Ovis aries: one gene and its partner. The main gene of each other region encodes a partner of the protein of the gene in region 2 in a complex. Links are inferred from orthologs where the notes say so. Each region holds a gene or a part of one and is shown on either strand. Other genes may lie near its edges. The genes, in order: KCNE3 and KCNQ1.

Region 1 (14,643 bases), on a different chromosome or scaffold from region 2:
GGAAAGATTGAGGACAGAAGGAGAGGAGGATGACAGAGGATAAGATGGTTGGATGGCATCACCAAGTCTATAGACATGAGTTTTAGCAGATTCCAGGAGACGGTGAAGGACAGGGGAGCCTGGTGTGCTGCAATCCATGGGGTTGCAAAGCATTGGACATGACTTAGTGACTGAACAACCACAACATATATATAAATATATATATGTGTGTTTGCATGTATATATATATATATATAAATTTTTTATTTAAAAAATTTTTATTTTGACCACATTCAGGATCTGTTACCCAACCAAGGATCAAACCTGTGCCCCCTGCAGTGAAAGCATGGAATCTTAACCACTGGACCATCAGGAAAATCCCTATTTTTTAAAGTTAAGTGTTGATAGATTAGATGATGTTAGATGTTATTGGAAAGCAAGGCAGGGAAAGGCTTTGGGGAAGGCAGGAAAAGGAAGGGATTAGAACTTGTAAATAGATGGTCAGGGAAGGCCTCACTAAGAAGTGGCATTTAAACAAAGACTTGAAGGAGGTGTATCTCGAGATGAGTCTTCAGTTGGCCCACTCCACTCCCTCACCCTCCCTGTTTCAAGGTCCAGGCCTTGTCCCCAACCTCTCTGAATTAGAGAGTTCCCTGAAGGTCCTTCTCAGGTTTGTCCAGAATAGGAATTCTGTTTTGTTCTTCCTTTTCTCATCTAATAATAATGGAGGCTGCCATTTATTAAGTATGGGCATCATATTCTTATCATGTTACTCATCCGGTCATCTAAGCCTCATAGTAAGACTGAAAGTCACAGATGGGGAGATAAGGCAGTCTAGCCTACTTTCCATTGACTCTTTGGCCAGCTGCCTTTCCTGACAGGGTTCCTGCCCCATCCTCACTCCAAAGGAAGTGGAAGATAGACCTAAAGTTTTTGAAGAACTGAAAAAAGGAACAAAGCATGTACTTAATGTCTCCATTGGGCACAAGGACCAAAGTGTCCTTAGAAGGCAGTATTTGTTAAAATGTGAGAACATCCTAACAATCAGAGCTTCAGATCCCTTGGAGGCAATGAGCTCCTAGTCACTAGAGGTGTGCAAGAGAAGCTGATCAATCTGTTGTCAAAAATTAAGTCTTGCCCATTCCCCAGCCATCAGTTTCACATGCCCCAAAGGCTGAGGGCCTGTGCGTGACTCTCCTCTGCCCTGTGAAGGGTGTGTGCCTCCTGCAGCTAAGAGCCTTGGAGCCACTGCCCTCATTTTCTCTTGTTGTCTTGAATGTAGTCCAAGGGAGGTACCCTGCAACCAGCATGTTGAGTGCCAGCAAAGACCAGGAAATGGAATTGGAGGCACCATGTGCTATATATGAAGGAGATGAAAAGTTTCCAGGAATTAAGTCCAGTTTCATTTCATTATAGGATAGTAGAAAATGGTGACCCCAAAGCCTTTTTTATAGAAGTTTCCTGGACAAAACAAATCCTCAAACACCTCCAATCATGTCTATGAACGCATCTTTTAACACCATATCATCAGGTATAAGGCAGCACTTATCAGCCAAGTTACAGGAAGCAGTGAAAGTTAATCTCAAGATGGCCATGTTGCTTGTATACACCAAGGATAATAAAGAGTAGTTTATGGAGAATCACCATCCCCATTAATTCTACCACATCCAAAAACAATAACATCTTGGCTGAAAATCCTAACACATCCCATCAAATGAGAAAAAAAAAGATAAAGAAAACAACTTTCAAAAGCCCAGAGGGAACTACATCCAATCTCTTGGGATAAACTATAATGGAACAGAATATAAAAAAGAATGTAGTGACGAAAGAGCGGGGGCTGGTGCATGGGGATGACCCAGAGAGATGTTATGGGGAGGGAGGTGGGAGGGGGGTTCATGTTTGGGAGCGCATGTAAGAATTAAAGATTTTAAAATTAAAAAATAAAAACTAAAAAAAAAAAATTTAAAAAAAAATTTCCTACTTGTGTTGCATAATATGCCCTTATAGTTTTCTAATAAAAAAATAAAAATAAATAAAAAAGAATGTACATATGTGAATAACTGAGTCACTTTGCTATACAGCTGAAATTAGTACAACATTGTAAATCAAGTATATCTCAATTTCAAAAAAACAGTGACTAAAAAACAGAAGACCAGAAACATAAATTAACAGATAAACCATAAAGGAGAACTTCCTCAAGGATGGAATTGGATTGATATAGGAAGAAAAGTTATGACCAACCTAGACAGCATATTGAAAAGCAGAGACATTACTTTACCAACAAAGGTCTGTCTAGTCAAAGGTATGGTTTTCCCAGTAGTCATGTATGGATGTGAGAGTTGGACTATAAAGAAAGCTGAGTGCTGAAGAATTGATGTTTTTGAACCGTGGTGCTGGAGAAGACTCTTGAGAGTCCCTTGGACAGCAAGGAGATTCAACCAGTCCATCCTAAGGGAAATCAGTCCTGAATATTCATTGGAAGGGATGTTGAAGCTGAAACTCCCAATACTTTGGCCACCTGAGGGGAAGAACTGACTCCTTGGAAAAGACCCTTATGCTAGGAAAGATTGAAGGCGGGAGGAGAAGGGGACGATAGAGGATGAGATGGTTGGATGGCATCACTGACTCAATGGACATGAGTTTGAGTAAACTCTGGGAGTTTGTGATGGACAGGGAGGCCGGGTGTGCTGCAGTTCATGGGGTCGCAAAGAGCTGAACACGACTGAGTGACTGAAATGAACTGAACTGAGTCAAACAAAACTGGCTCTACAGATGATGAATGGCACTAGGAATTTGAGACATGGGAAGAGTATCCTTTAAAAACTAAATTGCGTTCAAAATCTTTTATTATTCTTTTTTAGGACTGAAGTGGCTTTTTATAAAACAGATTTTGTTGGTTTATTTCTTACATTAAAAATATTTTAAGCTGAAAGTCATGAGGATATCTGGTTGTATTAAATTATTTTCACAAACTTGCCTTAATAAAAGGTAAAAATGTTATTGATTGATATACTTTATGAAGCCATTTGAGCTTTTTAAATGACAAATATAGGGAATAATAATCATTGTTAACTTATGTGATCTTAGTCTAGTGGATGTAATTTTTTCTAGAGAAATATAACGCTGTTTTCAAACTCTCACTCCAGTGGAACAGAATAATGAGTGAGCAATTAGCCCACAGCGTGATGCATGCTAATAGGCTCCTCATCTTATGAGGGAGCCTGGTGGGCTGCCGTCTATGGGGTCGCACAGAGTTGGACACAACTGAAGTGACTTAGCAGCAGCAGCATCTTAATAAAGTCTTCATCACTTCTTTCTCTTAATTACTGAAGCATAAATTGCTTCAGAGAAACTTAAATACTAGTATTTGTACTTTATACATAATATTCTTTGTAGTTCCTTTTTCTTTTCAAGGGCAAACTGCTTCTTTATAATAAATGAGAAACTGTTTATATTGATACTTTTCTCTTGGTTTGGGTCACAATGTTCAATTATGAGAGCTTTCCATGGAATTTTGAACAGGAGAATATAAAAACAAATCTGCCAAATGCATCAGAAAGTATTTGAATAGAAGTGCTGGTTCCTATTTAAAATATTTCTCTTTGCTGCAGATAGATGCCTTATATCTAATTTTTGTATTATTAGAGACCATGGTTTTAAGAAATTCCTATTTATCTGTTGTATGTTTTTAGTTGTTTGGTAACTGAGGTCTTCTAAATTTTTTAACACAAAACCACATTCGCAGTCTTGCTTCTTTTCAAGTATCCAAATGTATTCTCAGGGATTTCCCTGGTGGTCCAGTGGTTCAGAATCCCCCTGTCAAGGCAGGGGAAGTGGGTCTGATCCCCGGTCTGGGAAGATTCCCACATACCTCTGAGCAACAAAGCCCATTCACATATCTACAGGGCCCACACAAAGCAACTACTGAAGCCCAGGCGCCTAGAGTCCATGCTCTGCAACAAGAGTTCAGTTCAGTTCAGCTCAGTTCAGTCGCTCAGTCGTGTCCGACTCTTTGCAACCTCATGAACTGCAGCACGCCAGGCCTCCCTGTCCATCACCAACTCCCAGAGTCCACCCAAACCCACGTCCGTTGAGTCGGTGATGCCATCCAACCATCTCATCCTCTGTCGTGCCCTTCTCCTCCTGCCCTCAATCTTTCCCAGCATCAGGGTCTTTTCAAATGAGTCAGCTCTTCGCATCAGGTGGCTAAAATATTGGAGTTTCAGCTTCAACATCATTCCTTCCAATGTAGCCACCACAATGAGAAGCCCTCACACCGCAACTAGAGAAAGCCTGTGCACATCAACAAGACCCAGTGCAGCCAAAATAAATAAACAAATACATTAAAAGTTTTAAAGAACCAAAAGAAAAAAACAAAAGTATTTCTTAGTACCTTTGTCAGAGAAGGCAATGGCACCCCACTCCAGTACTCTTGCCTGGAAAATCCCATGGACAGAGGAGCCTGGTAGGCTGCAGTCCATGGGGTAGCTAAGAGCTAACACAACTGAGTGCCTTCACTTTCACTTTTCACTTCCATGCGTTGGAGAAGGAAATGGCAACCCACTCCAGTATTCTTGCCTGGAGAATCCCAGGGCAGGGGAGCCTGGTGGGCTGCTGTCTATGGGGTTGCACAGAGTCGGACATGACTGAAGCGACTTAGCAGCAGCAATAGCAGTACCTTTGTAATAAAAGACACAGAAGTCTCTCAAAATGCTGAACTGTAGTATATACTTACTTAAAAAAAAATCATTCATAGGGGAAACTATTGGTGTAGTTTTACCAGGAAGTTTTTAATATATACGTGTGATTCACAGGGATTCTGTATGCACTCCCCAGCTAAAAAAAACACATAGGACTACTGCGGTGGTATCTGGGAGAGTTGCTTGTTGGTTCATCAAGTCACAGCTGTGCAGCTTGGGTCTGAGTTTTTAAAGAATAGCTGTTATTAAAAAGTTTCCTTAGCAAAAGAGCAATTGAGCTGTGTCCATGAATTTTACTGGGCTAATGTTGGCATCAGTTAAATCGTTTGAATTATGAAGTATAATTACAATAAAGAAGATCAGCTTCATGTTTGAAAACTGAGTCACATTTCTTAAATTAGTATGATAGAAACATTAAAATTCAGGACCATTGGGATATTTTGATTTGTTTGCTGTGTTTTTTTTTTCTTTTTAAAGAAATTGAAACTAATACATTTGCTAGTGGAAGAAAATGGTTTGTTTTGCTTTGAAGATTCTGAAATTGTTCAGGCTTATTATGGTTCATAGATTACAAAAAATAATGCTAGTGAAATGCAAATCTACTATTTTTACTCTTTTTTTTTACATGAAATGTACAAGTTTCAGCAGGGTGGTGATGGTGGCAGTGGTGCCTCTTTACTATCTTATGTAAAACAGTTGAACAATCTCATCAATAGTGCCATCATCTATTTAACACTCCCAGTACATTTTCTAAGTTTGTTTAATTAAAATTGTATGAAATGACACAATTAACAAGCAATAAAATCTCTATTACATACACACAGATACACACAACACAACTTAACACATACACACAGATACAAAGAAATGTAGGGGAATTCTTCAATTCAGTTCAGTTCAGTCACTCAGTCATGTCTGACTCTTTACAACCCCATCGACTATAGCACACCAGGCTTCCCTGTCCATCACCAGCTCCCAGAGCTTCCTCAGACTCATGTCCATCGTATCAGTAATGCCATCCAACCATCTTATCCTCTGTCATTCCCCTCCTCCTCCTCCTGCTTTCAATCTTTCCCAGTATCAGGGTCTTTTCCAATCAGGGGGCCAAAGTATTAGAGTTTCAGCTTCAGTGTCAGTCCTTCCAATGAATATTTTGGGGGAATTCTTGGGTAAGAGATTTGACTAGATAACTCTGAGTCCTTTCAACTTAGGTTCTATTACTAAATGATTCTAGAATTCTAACATGGTATGATTCTAAGGCTGTGACTCCAGAATTTTATTAGGACAAGAAACAGTCCCTATTTTCAAAGAACTCACAACCTAGTAGATGAGGAAGACAAATAGTTACTTTTGATAACTGTAATAAATAGTCCTATAGATTAGATGCAAGGCCTTGGCAGGATGTGGGAAGGAAGGCTTACTGAGGCAGGGCTTGTTTCCTCAAGGCTGGTCTCAAGAACCATTTACATCACAATCTTTCCGGAAGCTTTCTTTAAAAAAAAAGAACAACTAATTTCTGGGCTCTATTCCAGATCTCCTGAATCAGAAACTCTGAAGTGGAACCCAAAAGTCTACTTCACTTAAAATAAGGGCTGAGGGGATTCTTAAGTAGACTGAAATCTGAGACTGCCTGCTAAGGGATTTCTCTGAGAGATGATATACAGTCTGAGAAAAAGAAGTAGCTGGGTCAAAATATGAAACTACAGAAGTCACACAGAAGTAGTGTTTTGATGAAGATTTTGTACAATTTTGTACAACATTCCCTCCATGGGATAGGCCTTTTTTGAATGATAGCACTTCTTAGGTAAAATCTGAGGTTCTGTGATTGAGGGTATATGCTTCAGATGTCCCAGGACAGAGTTTTCTTTGCACAGGAGTCAGAGCTGACCTCAGTTTGTTAATAACTATTCCAAGGCCGTAGGCTGGCAAAGAGGTCCCTGATGCGGACTTCCCACAGAGTCCCTGAGAGTCTACTCCCTGCCACCGTCCGCTCCATTGCCAGGCCTCCTGGCCCTCATTTCCCAATTGTCCCTGGCGTCTTCTTTTCTTTGGAACCTGCAGTGTCTACAGTAAGGAAGCAACAGCTTGAGTGAGGGCCTGATGGCCAGAAAGCACACAGTGTGCAGGATAGGGAGCAGTGAGACGTGTCTGGACACCAGTTGTCTGCGTATGTGAGGGACTGCTGAGACTTGGAGGAGACAGTGGTTAAGGGGAGAAGAGTGGCCTAGTGGATTTTGAGTCTGAGCTCTGCCAGCAACTTCCTTGGTGAGCCTGGGACAGTCCCCTTTCCCAAACTGGGCCCCTTACCCAAACTGTATCCTGTCTGGAAAAGAGGGTTTGTGTTAAAATCAGATGATTCTCCAGTGACCATCTGGGTTTAGCATTTTGGATTCTAAGATCTCGGATCCTAACCATCGTCCTGTGAAGAATGCATGCAAGAATTGTACCCATTTTACTGCGAGGAAGCCGCGGCTCAGTGAGGAGCAGTGACTTGACCACCACCACACAATCACGGAGGAGTAGAGTCGGATTCCACCAGCACCCGGCTCTCTGCCTCCTCAGACCGGGCAAGCCGTCGTGAAGCAAGAAAACAGTCGGTCTCTGGTCCAGGAAGCAGGCGCTGCAGGGGACGGAAGGGTCGGAACCCATAGAGCTGTGGGGCCAAGCAGCTGGGCGGAGGTGCCCAAAGCCAGCTCGCGGAGGAGAAGTGGGTGGGTTAGGGGCCGGGCGGGGCCGGGGGTGGGGACGCCCGGGGGGAGGGAAAAGAGCTCAGAGAGCGGGTCGGAGAGCGAAGCAGAGGGGGCGCAGGCAGAGCTGGGCGCGGACTGCGAGCCGAGGGGCTGGCGGAGCGCCTTGGGGCGCAGTGAGGGCACCCGCGAGCCCAGGGCGAAGAGTCCAACAGACTGCGCTCTGGGAGCCTTACAGATGGGCAGGTAAGACGCACTCGGAAGGCCGAGCTGGAGCCGGGGATAGAAATGAGCGATCCGACCGTCTCCCTGGAGGCCGGTGACCCGACCTTGGGGGCAGCTCGGGTACAGACCCCTCCTCTCCAGGAACCCAGCCACAGGAATCCCGGGGCGCACGTGGCGAGGCTGGGCCCCCGGCACGCCTTGGCCGGAAATCTGGGGGTTTGGATCGGCACTCACGGGCTCCGGGAGGGCGGCACCAAAGCTCCTTCTACATCCACAGATGTGCGAGGGAGCACCTGCGGCTCAGCCGCGAGCGCACACGCGAGTCTTCTCGCTGGGCGGGAGCCGCTTGCTCTGCGAGTGGACTTGCCAGTTCGCCACTTCGCTGTGTTTCTCGTCCTAGGCGCCCCAGTCCCGGGAGAAGCCTTGGGGCCCCCTTAGCCATATTCCAGCGCTAATAACATAGATCTAGGCTGGGGGTCAGGAGACTTGCGTTCTAGTTTACAGCTTGTGTAAAGCTGTGCCAATCGCCCACCTACCTGCTCTATGCCTTGTGCCTTCTCCTCTTGGGTTACCACCTGTAAGATGAGCCTCCCGTTCCTGCCGCCCATGTACTCCGCATGGCCTGTGGGGAAGGGGGACTGGACCCGAGAGTCTCTGCTGTAGAAAGTACAGGAGTTCAGTCCCTTTTGTGAGGGCTCGTGGAGCAGTATCTCCTCCTATCCCCTCTTCCCACTTATCAACAGTTTGCCTATGGGGAAACAGGTCCAGAGAGGAGATGGCTTGCCCAGGGTCACAGACAGAAGTAGAACTCAATTCTCCTCACTCCTATCTCAGGGCTGACTCCGCTTCAACAAGCTGCTGTTGTTCAGTCACTATGTCCAACTCTTTTGCAACCTCGTGGACTGGAGCCTGCCAGGCTCCTCTATCTGTGGGATTTTCCAGGCAAGAATACTGGAGTGAAGAATACCCCATATCCTTCTCCAGGGGAATCTTCCCTAACCAGGCATTGAACCTGTGTCTCCTGCAGTACCAGGCAGACTCTTCACCACTGAGTCACCAGGGAAGCCCCTTCAGCCACAAGAGTGCATTGAAGATGTGTTAGCTGCTCCTTATCTTCTGGTATCCAACCAGTTGTTGGCTCTAAGTGGGGGAGAGCCATACTGGAGGCAAGGAAACTGCTTTCAGATTTTCTTGATTCCTTGAGATGATAGCAAACAAACTTCTTCATTCCTTTCTCAGTCCACGCTTTGCAAAGCACCTTTCTACCTATAAATTGAATAGGTGAATGCTCCAAATTACGACTAAGAGGGTAGCAAGACAAGAAAGCCCATCTTACTGATGGGGAGAATGAGGTCCAGAGTGAAGAAATGACTTAACCAAGACACACGGCTAGACACACCTACAAAACAGAACGAGTCTCTTGACTCCAATTCCATTGTGTTCTCTATCACCAGCAGGACTACAGAATAGTACCCCTAAATGGAGAGAGATTACAGGGCTGATCAGAAAGGATGAGAAACAAGAAAGATACTCTTTATTTCTGAAAGAGGTAAGTGTATCTGAGAATCAAGAATAATAAAGAACCTCCTGGCTTTCTCTGAGGCTAAGAGAAGGAAGGGAGGGGAGAGGAGACATAGAGTTGGCTGTTCTTGGTAAAACTGGGAGGCAGGGTAGGGGAGGTAGGTAGGGAAACAGAAAAGAAAACAAAGTGACCGGCTGCCCAGTAATTCTCTCTAATGTTTATATGATATGTTGCAATTTCTTTTTTTCTTGTTTTCTAAATATTTATTTATTTGACTGTACCAGGTCTTAGTTGCAGCAAGTGGGAACTCTTAGTTTCAACACGTGGGATCTAGTTCCCCTATCAGGTATCCATCTGGGGCCATCTGCATTGAGTCTTAGCCACTGGACCACCAGGGAAGTCCTTGCAATTTCTAAAACACTTTTCCCCCATGGTCTCTCTCCAAATTGCGGTGTGAGGCAAGTTGGGGGGTGGATAATTATCCCCATCTCATAGATGAGATTCAGAGGAAATAAATGCAGTGCTCAAGGTCACACAGCCAAGCAGACAGCCGAGATTGGAACCATGAAAGGCGCACTTGAAAGGCAAGATTAGAGGCTGGGAGACTGGGATTTGGACTGTGTGTGTGCAGCAGGTGGGTGTGTGTAGCCACACCCTGGGTAGGTACACAGGGAAGAGGGTTGCAAAGCCGCTGCTGGTGTTCCAGGCCAAGAATGTTTGCCCTTTGGATTGAATGGGGTTCAGGTGCAGGGAAATCTGTGCTTCTAAAGGCGGCTTAGAATGCCTCCTCCCCAACCTCGCTTCCCCACCTGACCAAGATAGTGTCTTTTCTTTGAGCTTTCCCTTCCCATGACCAAAAGGAATCTATTTCCGCCTGCCCTTGAACTTGCTTTGTAAGTGCTTTCATGAATGTGTATTTGTGTGTGCAGGAGGGACTAGTCTAATAAGAAGAGGTATTTATCCATGTGTTCTTGAGTGCCTACTATAAAGAAACGTATGAGGCACAGGTCCCTCCCCTCACCCTTCCCAGCTCACAGTTTAGCATATACATCTATATCTATTTATATTTCTACACCCCCAATATCAGTATACACCCCCAATATCAGTATAGTATAGTGCTCTAATAGGATTTTATGCAAAGCCCTTCAGGAACAGACAAGAGGAAGAGACTTAACTGGCTAGGGAGTGGAGAAGAGGATGTCTCAGGAGAGGGTCTACCCAGGTGACATTGGAGTGGGTCTTGAAGAATGTGTGGGAGTTTGCCAGGCAGATAAAAAGAGGATGGGCATTTCTGCCTTAGCAAACATCATGAGCAAAAGCAAGAGGGGGCAAAATGCAAGGAATGTTTGGAGAATGGCCTGTAGCTCAGTATCATGGGGCATGGGCAATGGGGAGAGCTGCAGTGAGATGAGGCTGGAGGCAGGGTCATATCTAAAGGAGCTTGAATGATAATCAGCAGAGGTTAGACTATCTTATAGAGAACAGAGAACTTACAGTGAAAAGATACGGAGATAACTGTTTTTCGTCCCAGTTCCCAGGCTATGAGACCTTGAACAAGTGACTTCCTCTTGGCGGTTGGGGGGCGGGCGGGGAAAGTGCATGGTTTTTCCCACTGGTTGAATGAGGGGGTTACACCAATGACATGATTGTTAAGATCCCTTCCAGCTCAGATTCTATTTCTTTGTCTCCTTCTAACTGTATGTTAAGCTTCCTTTCACACCAGCCCATGGTGGTGATAAGACCACCAGGCAGGCCAGAGGCAAAATTTGCAGTCCCAGGAGTTATCTTTGGATTCCCTACCTGCTTTATGTGACTGCTTTCCCATGCCTTTCTACTACACTTCCAAGCACTTCAGACACTCTTTCTTGAAGAATAGCTAAAACAGAGCAGTAGGGAAACCAAAAGAACCAATAGTGGAGTTTTACTTTTCCCCAGAGAAACCTGAAAGAAAACCTCACTAAGATACCCAATTTATCCTTCAGGTCACAGCTTTATGCCTCCACTCCCAAGAAACAGGTCAGGCAAAATGAAGTCAAGAACACATTGGGTGAATCTGTTAATGTGCAGGGAAGAGTAGCACCAGGGTGTGGAGGAAGAGGGTGCACTTGGTTTGTATGGGGGCAGAAGTACATCTGGAGCAGAAAAGACCGTGGGAGACAAGACTGTAAAGTAAGGTGAAGTGTTAGTCACTCAGTCGTGTCTGACTCTTTGTGACCTCATGGACTGTAGCCCGCCAGGCTCCTCTGTCCATGGAATTCTCCAGGCAAGAATACTGGAGTGGGTAGTTTATTCCCTTCTCCAGGGGATCTTTCCGACCCAGGGATCAAACCTTGGTCTCTTCCGCTGCAGACAGATTCTTTACCATCTGAGCCACCAGGGAAGGTTAACTCCTCCCAAAGTCACCAACTTCTGCCTTTATTGGATCCTCAGTTACAACTGGTGAGAGGGACTTCTCTTGTGGTCCAAGAGAAACCAAGAGCTTGGTCCATAGAGAACCAAGCTGTCCCTTTAAGAGCTCTCTGCCTCTCCTGAAGCCACAGGATGTCCTTGCACACAGGCCCTCCCTCCCACCTCAACCCAGCTTCTGCTGCTAAGTTGCTTCAGTCGTGTCTGACTTTGTGTGACCCCATTGACAGCAGCCCACCAGGCTCCCCTGTCCCTGGGATTCTCCAGGCAAGAAAATTGGAGTGGGTTGCCATTTCCTTCTCCAATACATGAAAGTTAAAAGTGAAAGTGAAGTTGCTTAGTCGTGTCTGACTCTTAGCGACCCCATGGACTGCAGGCTACCAAGATCCTCCGTCCATGGGATTTTCCAGGCAAGAGTACTGGAGTGGGGTGCCATTGCCTTCAACTCAACTTCTAAAGACATGCGACTATGGCTCTTTTGCGCCCTCCATCAGAACCACAAATATCCAACCAGTGTGTCCAGAGAGGAGCTGGAAGAAAGTCTGAGGAATGAATGGTTTTGTGAACCTTTACTTTCCTCATTGAACCCTGCCTCAGAACCCACCCTGTCCTCCATGCTTTCCCCCTAACCCCACTTTCTAACAGACAGAGTCTGTCTCCCCAGGCTAGATCTCACTGGCAGGTGAGCTATAAAGAGGAAAAATGAACAAGTCAACAGATTTGGCCTTCAGTTTATCTGGGCTGGAATATTAAATATAACAGTCCTGGGACTCTGAAGAGTCTTAACCTTGGAGGAAAAAGTCTGCAGTCTTCTCTATCTTGTCATCTGTGGGACTCTAGAGAGCCCCCAAATCCTCTCCCACCAGCCTACCCAGTCTCCCAAATCTCACAGTGTGGTTTTATGGTATCTTCATGGGATGTTAGATCGGGACCTTACAGAATCACACAGTAAAACCCGTTCATTTTACAGATACACACAGGAGCTGGGGCCCAGAAAAGGGAAGTCACATACCCAAAGTCACACAAGTAGCAACTGAATCAAGACAGCTCTTTGGTTTTCATTTCTTTCACTGTAAAATGAGGGAGGTTAGCTAGATGGACTCTGAAGCCCCTGCCAGCCTCTGCTCTGCACAAATAAAACCACCACCACATCTGTGGCATGTCTAGTGCCATGCACTCCCTCATTTTCCCCTTTAATTTTCACAACAAAGCTATGCTACAGCATTGATGTCATGCCTGTGTTTATACCCAGTCTATCCAAATAGGCAGATTGGTAACATGGTTTTTTCCTATGTAAAACAGCAACCCAGTTCTGGCCGCCATTCTGCCACTCACCTCATTTCCTTGGGTCTCAGGTCCTTTCAGCCTTTTAGAGACTCGTAATGAGATGTCAGTACTCAGGGAAAGGGAATGTTTTAATTTTATTTATTTATTAGACTGCATCAGGTCTTCGTTGTGGCACTAGGGGTCTCCATGGAGCACAATTGCCTGGAGCACAGTTTCTCTTTCATTGCGGCACATGGACTCTCTAGTTGAGGCACACAGGCTCAGTTGTCGCATCAAGTGGGCTTAGTTGCTCTGAGGCATGTGGGATCTTAGTTCCCCAACCAGGGATAGAACCCACATCCCTTGCATTGCAGGGTGGATTCTTAAACACTGGACCAGTGTTTCTTAAACCCAAAAGGGGATGTTTTAGACTGCACTGTTAGCTGATCCCTGAGCAGCAGCTCATGTGTTGAACTGAGGTTTCTCATGAAGTCACCCAGTTGAGACATTGTGAACCTGGTGTTGGGGGACAGCAATCAGGGGTCCCTTGGTCATGGCACAGTTCCCTTAACTACAACCCTAGGCTGGCCTGATCCCGCTGCTGCAGGAAGGGGAGGGGAAGTGGGAGGGAGTGATCACCCACAGTAAAGTTATTGCACAATTCTTGGGGCTTGGCCTTAGGCGATCCACCGTGGTTCTGAGGGGTTTTTTCCTGTGTGTCTGGTTCCTTCCTTTTCTGTCCCCCAGCCGCCCCCGCCCCCAGGTCTGGGCCTTCCCAGCTTCCAAAGTCCATGTGTTGCAGGAAAAGGGACCCCTTCCAGGGCCGCCTGAAACTGGGCTCTTGTCTAACACTCGGAAATGAATTGTCCGAGGAGATACATCTGCTGACAAAGCAAGAGATTTTACTGGGAAAGGGCACCCAGGTGAAGAGCAGAAGGGTAAGGGAACCCAGGAGAACAGCTCTGTCACGTAGCTTGCAGTCTCGGCTTATGGTGATGGGATTAGTTTCCGGGTTGTCTTTAGCCAATCATTCTGACTCAGAGTCCTTCCAGGTGGTGCACACCTTGTTCAGCCAATGTGGATACCAGAGAGAAGGATTCTGGGAGGTGGTCAGACATGTGGTGTCTCCTTTGGACCTTTCCCGAACTCTTCCTGTTGGTGGAGGCTTATTAGTTCCATGTTCATTACCAGGATCTCCTATCCTAAAACAACTCATGCAAATAGTTACTATGGCGCCTGGCCAGGGTGGGCGGTTCCAGTCAGTGTGCTTCCCCTAACACATGCTGAGACCTCAGATGTGTCCAGGGACATCCTGAAGAGGCTGCAGAGCTAAGGAGCCTTGGGGCACCCACAGGGAGATTCCTGGAGCTGACGAGGAGCCAGTGAATTTGCCCGCTGTTCCATAAGCCTTCCCGGGGGAGGTGGCCCTCCACCTGCCCTGTCCGTTCAAGCCCCCTCACAAGGATATCTAAGGGAGGTGGTGACACTATCTGCCCTGGGAAGGAAACCTGGGCCACTGGAAACAGAGAGACTGCATTTTCGTCTTGCATACTGCTTCCGTTTTTCATTGTGTATATGTATTTACTTCACAAAAACAACAAGTAGATTTTCATTTTAATGAAAGCCGTGGTCTTTTTTTTTAAATTAAAATGTGTTTTAAAACTCCTCTTCACCATAATAAATGTATATGCTCAAGCAAGCCTGAAGAGGGGGCAGAGCAAAGATAATAATCTTCTTCTTTCTAATTAATGAGATTTTTAATGTGGTTAAAAAAAAAAAAGCAATGTAAATGTTATCATCTCAACCATCTCAGTAGTGTTCATTGTTATGAAACAGACCTCTAGATCTTTTTCATCTT
Region 2 (13,953 bases):
GAGGGCACCAGGAGCCCATTCAGTCCTGAACACGGCAGCTTAGACCCAGGTGAGACCAAGGCGGCATGCGGGCCAGGTGCTGTAGAAGCAGCGCCTTGTTCTCACAGCCGTGCTGGTTCCCAGGCCACCGGCTCCAGGGTAACCGGGGGCTTATTACCAACACACACCCCTGGCCTGCCCATAGCACTGTGACTCGGTATTTGAGGCATGGGTCTCCAAGTCTGTGTTAAAAGTAGAATTCGAGGGATCCACAGGATCATCCCAACCTGGAGCGTCCCCTCCCAGCCTCCGCCAACAGGGACGCCCTGCCTCTCTCATCAGGAGCAGCTCTGTCCGTCACCAAGGGGAGGACTTCCGTTTCTGGCAAGGGGAGTGACAGCATCTCTCTGCAAGTTCTGGAGCAGAGCAACTTCCTGTGGGCACCACGGAGCTCACCTGGCTCCAGGGACGTGTCCTCCCAGTGGAGAGGGCAAGCAGGCTCTGACCCACAGGCTGCCTGGGTTGTCCACCTGAGCAGCCACAGTGAGGACCGTGCGGCCCCCCAGAGGGAAGAGGCCGCACCTGAAACCACATGAGGCAGGAACTGGCAGCTGCGGCTCCACATGAACAAGAGGAACCAAGAGCCAAGGGCGGACACGGACAGAGCACCACAAAGCCCGGGCAAACGCTCGCACTGGCCGGCGGCAGGGACAGCAGCCGCCTGCCGCGGCTGTCTTCCTAGAATGAAAGCGGTGGGCGCGCTCACACTCGCTCTTACAGGGCCCATGACACAGGTTGTCTGGGAAGCCCCACACCTATACACCAGCCGCACGCAGGTCCTGCTGTGATTCACTGGGTCGCCCCTCTAGACCAGTGTCCCCTTAACCAGAGTCCAGAGGAACCCACCGATACAAAACGTCCACAGTCGCCACCTCCGCCCACAGCCCCACGAGGAGCCGAGCATCAGAGAGGCCACTGCAAACAGAATAGGACTCTTCCATGAGCGCAGCTGATGGTGTTCCAGGACAGATAGGGTGGGATCAGCACATTTAAGGGGCTCAAAGCCGTGACGTCACACACGAGGAAGATACAGGATGCTAAGACCAAGCAGATGAGACCCTCACGTGAGGACACACGGGAGAGAAAGAACAGGTGGAAACTGAGACACGGGTGAGGGGCTGGGAGACCAGACAGCGGTCGCTGAGGGCACAGGGACAGGCGGCGGCAGATTCGGCGAGGAGCGCTGCCCGGGAGGGTCGCGCAGACACTTCCAGGAGAGACCAGGCCAGTCAGGGCAGGCGGCAGCCTGTGACCCGGCAGGGCCAATCTTCCCCTCGATGAAAGACGCAAACCCTCAGAGTCAGGGGTCACAGCACCTCATCATGAAACTACAGAACACCAAAGTCAAAGAGAAGGGGTTTAAGGTCATCAGAAGAGAGGATGGGTCGCCTACAGAAGATGGCCAGCTCAAGAGGGCACACCAGCTGGGAGCTGGCGGCGGACTTCCAGCCTCCTACAGTGGAGAAGAATATGACAGAGAATCTATATCCATGTATAACTGACTCTCTTGTTGTGTGCCTGGTACATTGTACATCAACTGTGTTTCAATTTAAAAATTTTTGTTTACTTAAAGAAAATACAGATCTCAACCTGTATGGTTCTAGCAAGCTGGACCATGGTTCAAGAGCAAAAGTGAAATACAGAAATCTCAGACAAGCGGAAACCGAGTAGGCCGTCGACAGACGGTCCCGGAAGACAGCACCGGCTTCAGGAAGAAGGAAATTCAACTCCAACTGAGACACAGACAACTGGCCAATCTGTCAGCAAATACGAGCCTCCACTGTCAACAAAGAGCCGCTACTGCCGAGGACGGGCTACAAAGTCAAAATGCAAACATGGCGCGGCAGGCCACAAAGCAGGAGGTGCTGGCGTGAGAGCCCATCCAGCCCGCCGCTCGCTGCTCAGGGAGGTGGAGGCACAGGAGGCAGGCAGCCAGGCCCTGGCCAGTTCCGGGCGGGGCTCACATGGCCTCCACGCCTGGGAAGGCAAGAGGCTGGACTCAGCAGGGGGAGACAGCGTGAGCGGAAGCCGAAACCCCTGGAGCAGGCAAGGCCTCTGTGTGTCGCTGCGGTCCTTCCACAGAACAGGCACGTGGGCTCCCGCCCTTCATTCTCTGAAATTCTGTCTGAAGTCCTTGTGATGGGAGCAGATAGCTCTGTTCACCCAGAGACTTCACGCTGCCCCCAGCTCTGCCGATACCCGGGGAACCCCCGAGGCTGCAGGTCCCCCCTCCAGCTGGTTTCTGCCTCCTCTCCCCATCCCCCCACCACGACACTGCAAGCTCCCAGCTGACCTGCCCCCAAGTCCTGCCCACGGGTCCTGACCAAGTCCTGCTCGCCGCTCCACAGGTGCCACCCCAGGAAATCCCGCAGGGCACAAGTCCTGCCCGCCGCTCCACGGGTGCCACCCCAGGAAATCCCGCAGGGCACAAGTCCTGCCCACCGCTCCATGGGTGCCACCCCAGGAAATCCCGCAGGGCACAGGGCTGACTGTGGCCGCTCCTGCTCCACGGCCTTCTGCCATCTGGCCCGCCCAGCACCTGCGGGCTCCGGTCACAACTCAGGCCCAGGGCCACCAGCCTGGCCAAGGTCACAGATGGGAAGAGACCCCGCACGTGGGGAGCCCACAGCAAGGAGGCGGGGGAGCCGTGGGAAAAGCCACGCCCAGGTCGCCATGGAGAGGAGCAGCCAGCCCCTGAACACCTCTGTCCAAGACAGTCCTACTGCTTGCCAGGCCCTTCCTTGGCCCTGCAGACGGGGCCACCACCCGGGGATTAGAGCAGATTCGACAGGGCGGCCGTGCCTAGGGCCCCGGGGTCCCAGAGCCACAGGACAGGAGCCCAAGCAGCCGCCAGCTGGAGACAGAGAGCCCTGCCTACGGCGGGGAGAGGCATGCGAGGGGACGCTCTGTGGGCAGCGCGGCAGGCAGGTAACACCCTGGGCGGGCTGGCGCCGTGGGCAGGGCTGGGGGTGCGTGCTGCTGGCAGGCGCTGTGTGTGGAGCAGAGAGGTTCAAGTCAGGGTCCAGCGTGGAAGTGGGGTGCAGCCTAGCGGGTGGTGCCCAGTATTGGGAGTGGGGCTGTGGGCCTGTCCCTGTGACAGCGTCTACCCCGGCGGCGCACCCCTGCTCCCACCCCAGGGCTCCCCAGAGCCGCCAGGCGGGCGCGTCAGGGATCCCTCGGGCGGGGGCATTCTGCATCCCTGGGGCCCGGCCGACAGCTCAGGCTCTAGAAATCCGGCGGGTCTGGGCTGGGCAGACTTATCTCATTGGCAGGGAAGGAGAAAGCCCTCCTTGCGAGGCCATTCCACAGAAAGCGCCTGACTCCCGGCCCTGGCCCCTCATTAACATTCCGCAGGCAGCACGGAGGACTCCACAACGCCGCATGGGCTGAATGGACGCCGCGTTTCGGGGGCTCCCTGTTCAGCCAACAGCGAGCATGGCTCCGCCCTGTGCCGACCTGAGCATTAGCATTCGCAGAAAGCCCCCATCTGCAAGGCAACAATGGTCCTGCCCCAGATCCGGATGGCGGGCACAATCGTCCTTTGTGCCCACGGCAGTGGGCAGGCGGGTGGCGCATCCCAGGGGCCCGACAGTATGTGAGGAGACCCCGGGCACCCAGGCTGGGTCTTGCACACCCAGCTTCCCAAAGAGGAAGCCCACAGACAGCCTCAGGAGCGCCAAGGGGCCGTGGCTCCTCCCAGAGCACCCCCCGCCCTCCACAGGCTGTGCCCAGACACGGAGGATGCGTCACGGGCTAGCCATCCACAAACCTGGCAGATGGGGCGCCAGGCACCCACCAGCACCACACGGGCTCGGCCCCCTCAGCCACGCCTGAGGCAGTGGCACCGCCCTCAGCCCCTGACACACTGGCACATCCAGGTGCTGGCCGGAACCCTGGGGGTCCCGGGAAGAGGGGAGAGGCGGACACGGAGGAGACAGAGAGCAGAGGCGCAGAGCTGAGCAGGGGCCAGCCGCGGGCGCACACAGGCTGGCTTAGGACCCTCAGCCCCACTCCCCCGGGACAGGGGTCCACGTGAACCATTGGCCCCTCCTCTCTGCCAGGCCTGGGCGCCAGGCATATAGCACGGCCGAGGCAGGGCCTGGCTCCCAGAAACCCAGAGCCCAGTGCAGAACAGGGCAGGACTTCCACGAGCGACGGGCCCGCTCTGACGGAGCAGGCGTGGCAGTGCCAGCTGTCCCCAGGACGAGAGCAACTGGCCGGGGACGTGAGGCTGCCCCGACCCCCCAGGCCCCGGCAGCCCTGCTCAGAGCTGAGGGAGGGCCTGCCCCCTCCACTGCAAGCGGGGGCTCCTCACCAGCGCTGTCGTAGCCGTCTACCGAGATGGGTTCGGGCCTGCGGTCCTCCAACACGGGCTCGCAGGTGATGTGGGGGACCGAAAGTGCCTTCTCTCCTGGGCTCACACCATTGTCCTTGTCCAGTTTGAACTTTTTCTTCTTTACCTAGAAAACCAGACGAGAGGAAGTGGTCAGGTCCTGGGCGTCCCCTGCCGGGGCCCTCTGCTGACCCCCGACCACCGGTGGCAACACCCTCTGGGCACCTGCCAGGGCCGGGCTCCGGGACTCTCGCACACTGGCAGGGGGTGCTGCAGCGTGGGGTGCTGCCAGCGGCCCCCTGGGAGCTCACAGCCTTGGGGGCAGGCAGACAGAAACTAGAAACAGCAAGCAGACAGGAACGCCCCAGGGCAGGGGACAATGCGGGCTGTGGCCAGCGGGGCTGAGAGCGTGGGGCAGCGGGGTGCACAGGCTGAGGGCCAGAGGGCGCGCCTCTGAGGTGGTGACTGGGAGGAAGTGAGCGAGCCAGCCCCGCTGGGGTCTGGGAGAAGTGCTGGCAGAGGAAACGGCGGGTGCAGAGGCTTCGCAGGCAGCCAGCGCCTGGGAGACCGCATCTCTCCAGGGCGGTGTGGGTGCGGGCCGGAGGGAGGCCGCTGCTGGGCCGGTCACCCTGCACTCTCGGGACTCACGCCCAAGCCTGCCTCAGCTCCCTTATACCGAGACCCCCAAGGCCCTCTTCTCTGAGCCAGGCAGCCACGGCCACCCTGCCGCTCACCTGCCCGGCACAGACAGCCCAACACCCAGGCCCTGTGGAGAACACCCCGCCGGCAGGGCAGGCCAGGATCCAGCCGGGCCTCTCCCCATGGTGCTTCCTCTGGACCTGCCCAGTGCTGGCCTTGGTGTGGCCAGTCCCGGGGCCAGACCTGGGCCACTTGGATGGTGGGAGCCCAGCACGGCGCACACTGCCAGTGCCCATGCCGACGTGGCTACACTGGACTGAAGGATCAGGGACAAATCCTGACCGTGACGTGGCCTCCCCCCAATTGCAACACGGCAGTTACCATGGCTGACTTCTTGGGCTTGGGGCTGGGGGACAGCAGGGCGTGGTTCCGGGATGGCTTCCGGACATAGATCTTCCAGGTGGAGGAATCTGGGTTCTCCGCTGCGTAGCACCGCCAGGCTGTCTGAAACCAGCGGGAGGGGCAGCCGTTACCCGCAGGCCCACGCTAACTGCAGCCACACTGCCTGCTGGGCCCCTCTGCTGCCTGAGCCTCAGGGCCTCTTGCCCACCAGCCCCTTCCTGAGGCTCGGGGTCCGCCCTCACCTCCCCAGGCGGTGCACACGCTCAGACAGCACAAAGCCTGTGAACCCCAGTCCCTCTGTGTCCACCCCCAGGGACGCCGTGGTGGGGCACTCACAGGGAGCGCCAAGGGGCAGGGCCTCGGGCCGGCAGAAGCAGGACTGAGTGCCCAGGAGGCAGCGCCACCCACCAGGAACCCCCAGTTTCTGGGAACCTCCAGATGGCATGTGGGTGAAGGTCTCAGGCCTAGAGACACCCCTGGCAGCTGCCACGCTGGGTGACCTGGAGGAAAGGGGTTGTTGGGGATGAGGAGGGCAGCCAGGAGCTCGTAGGAGGACGCACCCTGATGGCCTCAGCACTGCTGGCCGCGGGAGCCAGGGAGACGCGGTAGGGACACGCTCCTGGGCAGTGATGCCCCTGCAACCGGAGCCGGGTGCCACGCCCCGGCCCCCCAGGCAGGGGTGGACTTCCAGCTGCCCCTCACCCCCCTCCAGGCCTCTCCCGTCTCCTGGGAGGTGTGCGCGAGGCTGCACACCCACCGCTCGGGGAGTCCACTAACCCAGCCCTGCAGGCAGGCCATTTGCTGCCTGATTTACGGTCTCCCCGAGAGAGGCTGTGGGGCCAGAAAACCAGCTGCAGGGCCCGAGCCCCCGGCCCGAGGGCCGCTGCCTCCACTTCCTTCCTGTCCAGGGTTAGCATCCAGCCCCAGACGGTGGTTCCGGACAGGCTCCAGAGGGACAGAGCAGAGGCCCCCCGCTGAGCTGCAGCTGCCGCTGCAGCCCCTGGGGCCCTTCAGCTCTGGGGGCCCAGGCCACCCTGGTGGGCACAGGGGCCCGAGTCCAGGCTGACATAAGACGACGGCCCTGCTCCCGGCCCCCGCCAGGCCACGCTGCCTACAGCCCCAGGCGCTCCTGCGGCTCCCAGGCTCTGGGTGGACACTCGGGACGCCACAGTCTGCCAGTGGTCCCTGTGCCCAGGCTTCACTGGCGCTGAGAGGCCTGCCCCACGCTCCAGGCTGTCCTTGGAGCCCACATCCAGGGGCTTAGGGCCGCCTGCCTCTGGGACCTGCCTCTCCCCACTTCTGTTGGGCTTGGAGTCTTGTCACAGAAGCCTGAGGTGGGGGCTACAAGGGGCCTTGGGGCAGTTGCAGCCCCCGACCCACCCCCAAAGGCCCGGCGCTCTGAGCCCCGGCCCTGTGGGGACGCAAGCCTCTGGGAGGTAAAGGTAGGCCCAGAAAGTGGCCCGCGCTCTTGGGTTAGCCGGGAGGACTGAGGCCCTGACTGCTGCACAGGCAGGCCCTGACCCCCTGGGGGACGGCCCCCTGCTGACTCCCGCCCCCCTCCCAGACCTGCCCCCACGCAGAAGAGGCTGAGGACAGACACTCAGGGGGCCGCTGCGGCCGGAGGCCACAGGTCCAGAGGAGTGGGCACAGCGGGAGTGGCCAGGCCGCCTCCTCATCCCCGAGCCTGGCCCACAGGACAGGGGCAGCTGGGCTCCCCAGCACCGTGCCTCCCACCAGCCGGCAGGCATCATCCCACAACTCCCGGGACAGGGGTTACACTGGGCAGGCGAGTCCGTGCCGTGGCCTGCCGCCCTTCCACCCTTCAGAGGGTCCATGGGCGAGGGTCCAGCTGCACTGGGGGCCGAGGGCCACGCCCGGCTCCCCGAGCAGACATGTGTGTGTTCCCCTGCCCTTGCCCTGCCTGGTGGGCCGGTGGCCAGACGCCCTTGCCGAGGCCACGGGGGCGGGGCCGCCACCTGGATGAGCGAGGCTGCCGCCGGGATCTGCCTGTTGAAGTGCTTCTGTCTCTGCTTCTGCTGGACCTTCAGGGCGAAGCCGGAGCCGAGAATCCCCTGGAAGGACAGAAGGCAGGCTCACGCCCTGCAGATGCGGGAGCGGGCAGCAGGCGCGCTGGGCGCCCTGGGCCCGGCTCCGCGCTGCAGGCCCCGCAGACCAGGCCAGTGCCTCCAGAGAGCCTGCGCCTGGCGAGCAAGCTGGGGGTCTGAGTGGGCCACCTCTGGGTGTCTGCTCACAGGGTGGCCACCACCCCCACCAGCCTCCAGAGCGGAGGGGCCGTGGAGACGCCGCACCAACCCTGAGCACACCTACCGCCGGGAGCGCAAAGAAGGAGATGGCGAAGACGGAGAAGCAGGAGGCGATGGTCTTCCCCACCCACGTCTGCGGCACCTTGTCCCCGTAGCCGATGGTGGTGACCGTGACCTGTGGGCAGGAGGACAGCAGGCGGCGGTCAGCCCCAGAACCTCAGGACGGGCGTCCGTCCAGCCAGAAGCCCCTCCACCCGAGACCTGCTGCGTGCAGAGGCCAGGGAGAGAGCCCTGCACCGATGGGCTGGGCAGCTCGGAGGCCAGAGCCCCAGCCCACAGGGTCTGGAGCCCAAACTTAATGCTGCAAAGGAAGCAAGTTCACGGCGTGTGCACGGGAGCTCGGCCTCCCTACACCACCCCCGCCCCGTGCCAAGGAGGCCCACCACCCAGGAGGCCAGGAGCCCCCCCACCCCTGAGGCCCACCCTCCACAGAGAGCCTGGCCACAGATGGCATGCTGCTTCCAGATGCCAGCCCAGGCACCAGATGCTCTACGTGCCCTTTTTTCTGGGAGAACCAGATGAGCGGTCTTCTCCATGGGGGTAGGGGGCTGTCCATCCAAGGCATGTGCTGGGACAGCGGGGTGGGGGCTGCTGCCCCTCGTGTCCCCCATCCCGCTGCAGGCTCGCCTGCTGCTGGCATCTGAGGCTGGCTCCCAGGGCCTCGGGACTCATCCTGGCTGTGCCTGCCGGCGCCAGAGCCTGGGCCGTGGACTGCCTTCTTGGTTTTTGAGGACTCAGCTCTGAGCCTGGCAAGGGACCCATGGTGCCCAGAGCCCCAGCTCGTCCCATCAGCACACGCACCCAGCCCTGTGACGGGTGGCTGGGCCTCCCCTAAGTCAGACCCCCTGAGCTAGGCTGCTCCATGAGCTCTGCAGAAGGGTCCGCACGTGTCCACACAGATGGAGACCAGCATAGTTGTCCACATGGAGACGGGTACACGCAACGGCTTGGAAGCCCAGGGCAGAGGCAAGAGGCCCCGGGAAGCAAGAGTGACCGAGAGTCTGGGCTCAGGGGTTGGGTGAGGACCGCAGTGTGGGAGGCCAGGTGTCCCCCACCCCCTGGTGCAAGGCACGCTCTGGGCTCCTCAGACCCTGTCACAGACCTCCTTTGTCAAGTTAACGACATCCTTCCAGCTCTCGGAGGAAACGGCCCATCCCCGCAGAGCTGTTTGTTTTTCCTGAATTCACAGACACAAGCAGCTTAGGAATGGGCTGTTTACAGCCTGTGTGCTCGCCCCCGATGGCAGGCGATCTGGAATGCCGAGCTGCACGTCCCCTGGGCACAGACCCGGGGAGGCGCCTCGGCCGGGGTCTCTCCTCTGGGGCTGGAGACCCCAGAGGGCCTGCCCGTCCCCCCAAAACACAGCACGGTGTCACTCCATTTCCTCTTTTCTAAAGCCGCCTCCTGGATGCCAGCGGGCTGTGGGGGAAGCAGAAGGCCCAGCTTAGGAGCCCGGCTCCACTGGGGACGTGGTCAGCCTGCCGCCACCCCACAGACCATGGCCATTTGTCCAGGGCGGGAAGGGGCGGCCAGGAGCGGGGGCGAGGACAGAAGCGGGCCCACGGTGCTCAGACCAGGGGTGCAGCGTGGTCCAGCCAACGTGCAGCCGCACCGTGAGCTCCAGACCATCTGACGGGGTCTCACCACTGCTGGATGAGCGGGCTGGCACCAAACCAGGGGTGTACATCCCTGGCTCCTTGCTGTGATGTCGGGGTAGGGGGGGCAGAGGACAAACCCAAGGCCAGAGGCTGCTGCGCTGGGGGTCCAGGCCTCGCCCAGCCTCAGGGAGGAGGCTGGAAAGATGCAATCAGGGAGAGGATGGCCCTGGGGGAGGAGAGGTGCAGAGAGAGGGGCTGGGGGAGCGGCAGGACTGTCTCAGAGAGGCAAAAGGTAGGTGCAGTGGTCCCGAGGCCCAGCGCCGGTCAATGTGGGGCTACCCCCAGAGACCCCAACCTGTCTTGGGGGGACGGCGGCCAGCATGTGAGGAGCCCACCCAGCCAGGCTTGCAAACTCGAGCTGAAAACAAAAGCAAATGCATAGCCCCAAACAAGCCCGCTTCCCTTCTGAGGGAAGTCATATATAAACGCACAGAGGCCCACGCAGGCCCAGGGCTCCTCATCACGCGAGCACCCCTTCTCCCTCCCAGAAACCAGCCTGTGATCACCATGGCCGAGAAGGCGCAGGGGTTGGGGCGCCGTGGGGCCAGCACTGCAAGGGTGGAGGCAGGTCCTCTCTCCCTCCTTTGGGGGCACAAGGGAGCCCCACACAGCCCCTGGCAGGATGCCGTGAACCCTTGGGCCCTGCCCAGGCCACATCCACCCCTCGGCGGGGCCAGGCCCACAGCCCCTCAGCAGAGGCCCTGGACTCTGCCCCGGGCACCCAGCATAGACATCTCCTCCTCAGCGGCCCTTCCTGCCTCCCGGGGATCACGGTATGAGGACCACAGCTGACTGCAACAAACCACGGCCATCCGCAACCAAGTCTCCGAGCGCGTGCGGCCCGGGCGGCTGACCCCTGCAGGCCCCAGTTGCCCCACACACACACTGCCCCAGGGACGTGCTGGTGGGAGAACCAGCCGGGTCAAGAGGCCCTGTCATCCAAGGGACTTCTCTGAAGCAGTGGGAAAAAGGGCCTCCTTCCTGGGATCATGGCCTCTCAGGGAGCTGGCCCTCAGAGGCAGATTTGCTGCCACCTCATTTTACAGATGGGGAAACTGAAAAGGTCACAGCTCTGCCCTGGCCCCAGGGCTGGCTGCCTGGTGTGCCCGGGGCCACCCGCACCTGCTGCCAGCCTTGAGGGGTCAGGAAGGACCCGCACGCTTAGGGGCATAAACACACACAGGCATACGCGACGTGTGGTCTGCGGGGAGTGGGACCCTCAGGACCAGCAGGGCTGAGGGGCGTGATGGACCTCGGCGGCCACGGACACTCGAGTGTGAATCAGCTGGGGACAGTCACTGCCTGGCATCCGGCTTGTGGGGCCGCCAGGAGAACCTTGAGCAGTAACGGTCCCTGAAATGCACAACCAGCCTTTGCTGAGCCCTCACTGGGCACCAGGGGCTCAAACTGTAAAAAATCTGCCTGCAATGCAGGAGACCCGGGTTCAATCCCTGGGTCGGGAAGGTCCCCTTGAGAAGGAAATGGCAACCCCCTCCAGTATTCTCGCCTGGAGAAATCCAAGGACAGAGGAGCCTGGTGGGCTACAGTTCACTGGGTCACAAAGAGTCAAGCACGACTGAGCGACTCAACCACACCCTGGGCACCGCAGGCTCTCCGAGCTCTCGCTGACAGCCCTCCACCCGCTCTCGGAAGTGGGCACCCACCTTACACCCAGCGCAGCCCAGGGTCACTCGGCAGGTCAGCGTGGCTCCACCCCAGTTCCTGGCAGGGTCACCCCACTGCTTCCTGTTTGCCTGTCTTCCTGATGCTGACCATGCTTCTTTCACTCGAGCTGAAGCCGGAAAGTTCTTTCTCCAGATGACAAGGGCTGAACCCCACCCCAGAGGAAACCAGGCCTGAACACCACCCTCACTGGGCCTGCCGAGTCCACATAAGAAACCATCCCGGACAGTAAGGACGGAGAGACAGACCTGCCCTGTGGACCCCTACTCATCCCGCAAAATCCAGCCGTGAAGACCCTTCTCTGGCTGAGCTCTCAGCGCCCACGGTCTCAGTCGCATACGTGACCGACGACAGGTGCAGGAGGGACTCAGAGCTGGCGGTGGCCTGGGGTCCTGGGGACCCTCCCATCAAAGCTGCAGCGCACTCTCACCTTTGCACGGAGTCCAGGCAGGGGAGGAGCCCTGGATGCTGCGGGGGGTAGGCGTGGCCCACTGCCCCCTGGGCCCAGTTCCCCAACTCCAGATGAGAGCCTGACATGGGCCCCCACACTGGGCGCTATCGACAGACCTTGCCTGTGAATGCCTGGGGGCCCTGTCCTCACCCAGCCCCCCATGCGGCCCCCAGACCCGTTGGCCTCACCCGGCCAGGACACAGTCCGGCCAGGACACAGTCCGGCCTGGGAAGTAGAACTTTCTGGAGCCAAGGAACTGGAGTCAGACTCAGTTTTAAACGGCGGTGGAACGCAGGGCGGCTTCCACCCTTTTCACTCCCAATTCTAAATTTAGATGCAGGGGTAAACAGAGCCTGGCAACCTCCGGATCTTAGAGACCCCCGGGCGCTAAACAGAGAAGCCCGTGTTTGCAAAAGCTGCTTTTCCCTCCACTCAAACTTTAATACAAACAAACGCATTTTGTTCCAAGGGCAGAGAAGAAAGTCTTAAATCCTCCCCGACACCTCAGCAGCCAGGCATGGGGCGCCACACTGGGAGGGGGTGGGGAGCTCTCACCCCCGTGTTGGCGCCCCACCCAGGGCGGGAGGAGTGGAGGCGACCCCGGCCTGGAAACCGAGGCTCAGTGAGCAGAGGGACCAACTGGTGAGCCCACCTGGGACAGTGCTGTCCGCGGCAGAGGAGCGTCCCCCAGCGTCCATGTGCCCCTGGGCCCTCGGAACACAGGCCTGTTTGGAAAAAGGGTCTTTGTCGATGCGACTGGGTTAATGACCTTTAGAGGAGACGGTCCTGAGCTCCCGAGTGGGCCCTGCACCCGCCGACCGGCGTCCCCACAGGAGACAGAAGGTGCGGCCACAGGCCCCGGAGTACCTGGGCCTCCGAGGCTGGGAGAGGCAGGAAGGACCCTCCCCCGGAGATTCAGGAGGCAGCCAGCCTCAGTCTCGATTTCCGGTCTCCAGAGGCGAGAGCAAGCACCGTGCTGGTGGTTCACCTGGCTGTGGGCGCCCCGTGGGCCCCAGGCAGAACCGACCGCTTCCCAGGCGCATCCAACCATCCGGCCAAGCCTGGTGCTGAGGGTGCCGGGGCACCTTCAGGCTGCCCAGTGGGTCCACACGCGGCCCTGGCAGGCTTCCCCCAGCCCGCTCCTACACCCGGCTCTGCAGAGAAAGCGCAGCGCAGGGCCCGTCCCACGGCCCAGACACCCAACCGCAGGGTCTCTCTCCCGCGTCCAGCCAGAGGAGCTGGTCTGGTGCGATGCCGTGTGCCCCTGGGGGGCAGCCTAACTGGTCAGCAGGCCTTGCCACGTGTGCCAGGTCCCCGAGAGCAGCACAGCCTGAAGGCAGGCCCTGGGCCGTCCACCCCCGGTGGGGAGCCTCAGGGTGCGAGCTGGGCTCACTGCCCTGGTGGCCCATGGCAATGCCACACAGGGGGAGGGCCGTCTGGCCCCAAAGCCCCCCGCGGGCGGTCCCGCTTGCATGTCCTGATTGCTTGTCCAGGACCTGCCAGGGGCACAGCCCAAACTTGAGCCCGGCCTGCTCCGCCCGCCTGAACAGCTGCAGGGGCGCCACCACTGCAAATGGGGGTCGTCTGCCCAGAGCCGGGCAGCGGGGGCGCTGAGCCCGCAGGAACAATGGCCAGGCTGGGCCTGCGGCGGCCAGGCCGGGGCCGCAGCTGACGGCGAGGCCGGGGCACCGGTGCCAAGCTGGGCACAAAGGGGCCATTTTCCCGGCTGGCGGGCGGATGTTTGCACAGGTGTGTGCGCGGGAGCAGGGCTCACAGGGGCCAGGCTGGGGGCAGCTCTGAGGGAGAGGCCAGGAAGACGGGCGGGCAGGGAGGCCGGGGCCGGGCACTGCTTACCAGCTGAGCCCCCCCACTGCGCCGTCTGGCCCTGGGGATCCTCACGGCCCCGGGTTGTGTGTCCCTCCACAGGCCCTGCCTATTACCAGAAAGTGACCCCTCCCCTGCTGGAGCAGGGGACGAGGTGCCCTCCCTCCAAACCTGCTGGGGGGCCAGCCACACCCCGGCCCGCAGGCGGCATCAGAGCAGGTCAGCATGTCCTCACCTTCCTGGGGCAGCCTGGCAATGTTGGAAGCTTCCAGAAAAAAAATGCTGACTTGGCCAACATGAGGAGCCCCAGCCTCGGCCTCTCAAGGGTGGGGATGGAGACGTGAGCAACTTCCTGCCCCACCCGGAGCAGTAGGGACAGGCCTCTCCCCGGAGGGTGGGGGCCCTGAGCAGAGGCTGACTCCCCCACCCCGCCACCATTCTGAAAGGAAACAGGTCGGAGGTGGACACGGTCGGGGCCCAGCTCAGCCTGGACCTGCGGTTCTGTGGAGCCGGCGCTGCCCCCAGGCCTCAGCCCCACCCCGTGGGTGCAGCCTGCAACCCCCTCCTCTCCCAGGCTGAGCGGGCCTGGATGTCAGCCAC

Evidence for each region.
Region 1: the proteins of KCNQ1 (region 2) and KCNE3 are in contact, whole or in part, in a cryo-EM structure (PDB 6V01), measured with the Homo sapiens proteins. The link is inferred for Ovis aries from reciprocal best matches to the Homo sapiens genes KCNQ1 and KCNE3. Residues at the interface, in NP_000209.2 of Homo sapiens: Arg116, Pro117, Thr118, Gly119, Trp120, Cys122, Phe123, His126, Phe127, Phe130, Leu134, Leu137, Ile138, Val141, Leu142, Ile145, Gln147, Tyr148, Arg181, Met238, Val241, Asp242, Gln244, Thr247, Lys362, Asn365, Ile368; in NP_005463.1 of Homo sapiens: Asp54, Asp55, Asn56, Ser57, Tyr58, Ile61, Met65, Phe68, Ala69, Val72, Gly73, Leu75, Ile76, Leu77, Tyr79, Thr80, Arg81, Ser82, Arg83, Val85, Lys87, Asp90.

What each region holds. Positions count from the first base shown.
Region 1 is NC_056068.1:52,523,246-52,537,888, reverse strand, and holds the start of KCNE3 (potassium voltage-gated channel subfamily E member 3), read left to right. Parts: upstream 1-7,450; 5' UTR 7,451-7,604; coding exon 7,605-7,612; intron 7,613-9,045; exon of another isoform or gene 9,046-9,140; intron 9,141-14,643. UniProt on the Homo sapiens protein: Ancillary protein that functions as a regulatory subunit of the voltage-gated potassium (Kv) channel complex composed of pore-forming and potassium-conducting alpha subunits and of regulatory beta subunits.
Region 2 is NC_056074.1:45,404,136-45,418,088, forward strand, and holds part of KCNQ1 (potassium voltage-gated channel subfamily KQT member 1), read right to left. Parts: intron 7,853-13,953; coding exon 7,742-7,852; intron 7,486-7,741; coding exon 7,390-7,485; intron 5,516-7,389; coding exon 5,393-5,515; intron 4,500-5,392; coding exon 4,355-4,499; intron 1-4,354. UniProt on the Homo sapiens protein: Pore-forming subunit of the voltage-gated potassium (Kv) channel involved in the regulation of cardiomyocyte excitability and important in normal development and functions of myocardium, inner ear, stomach and colon.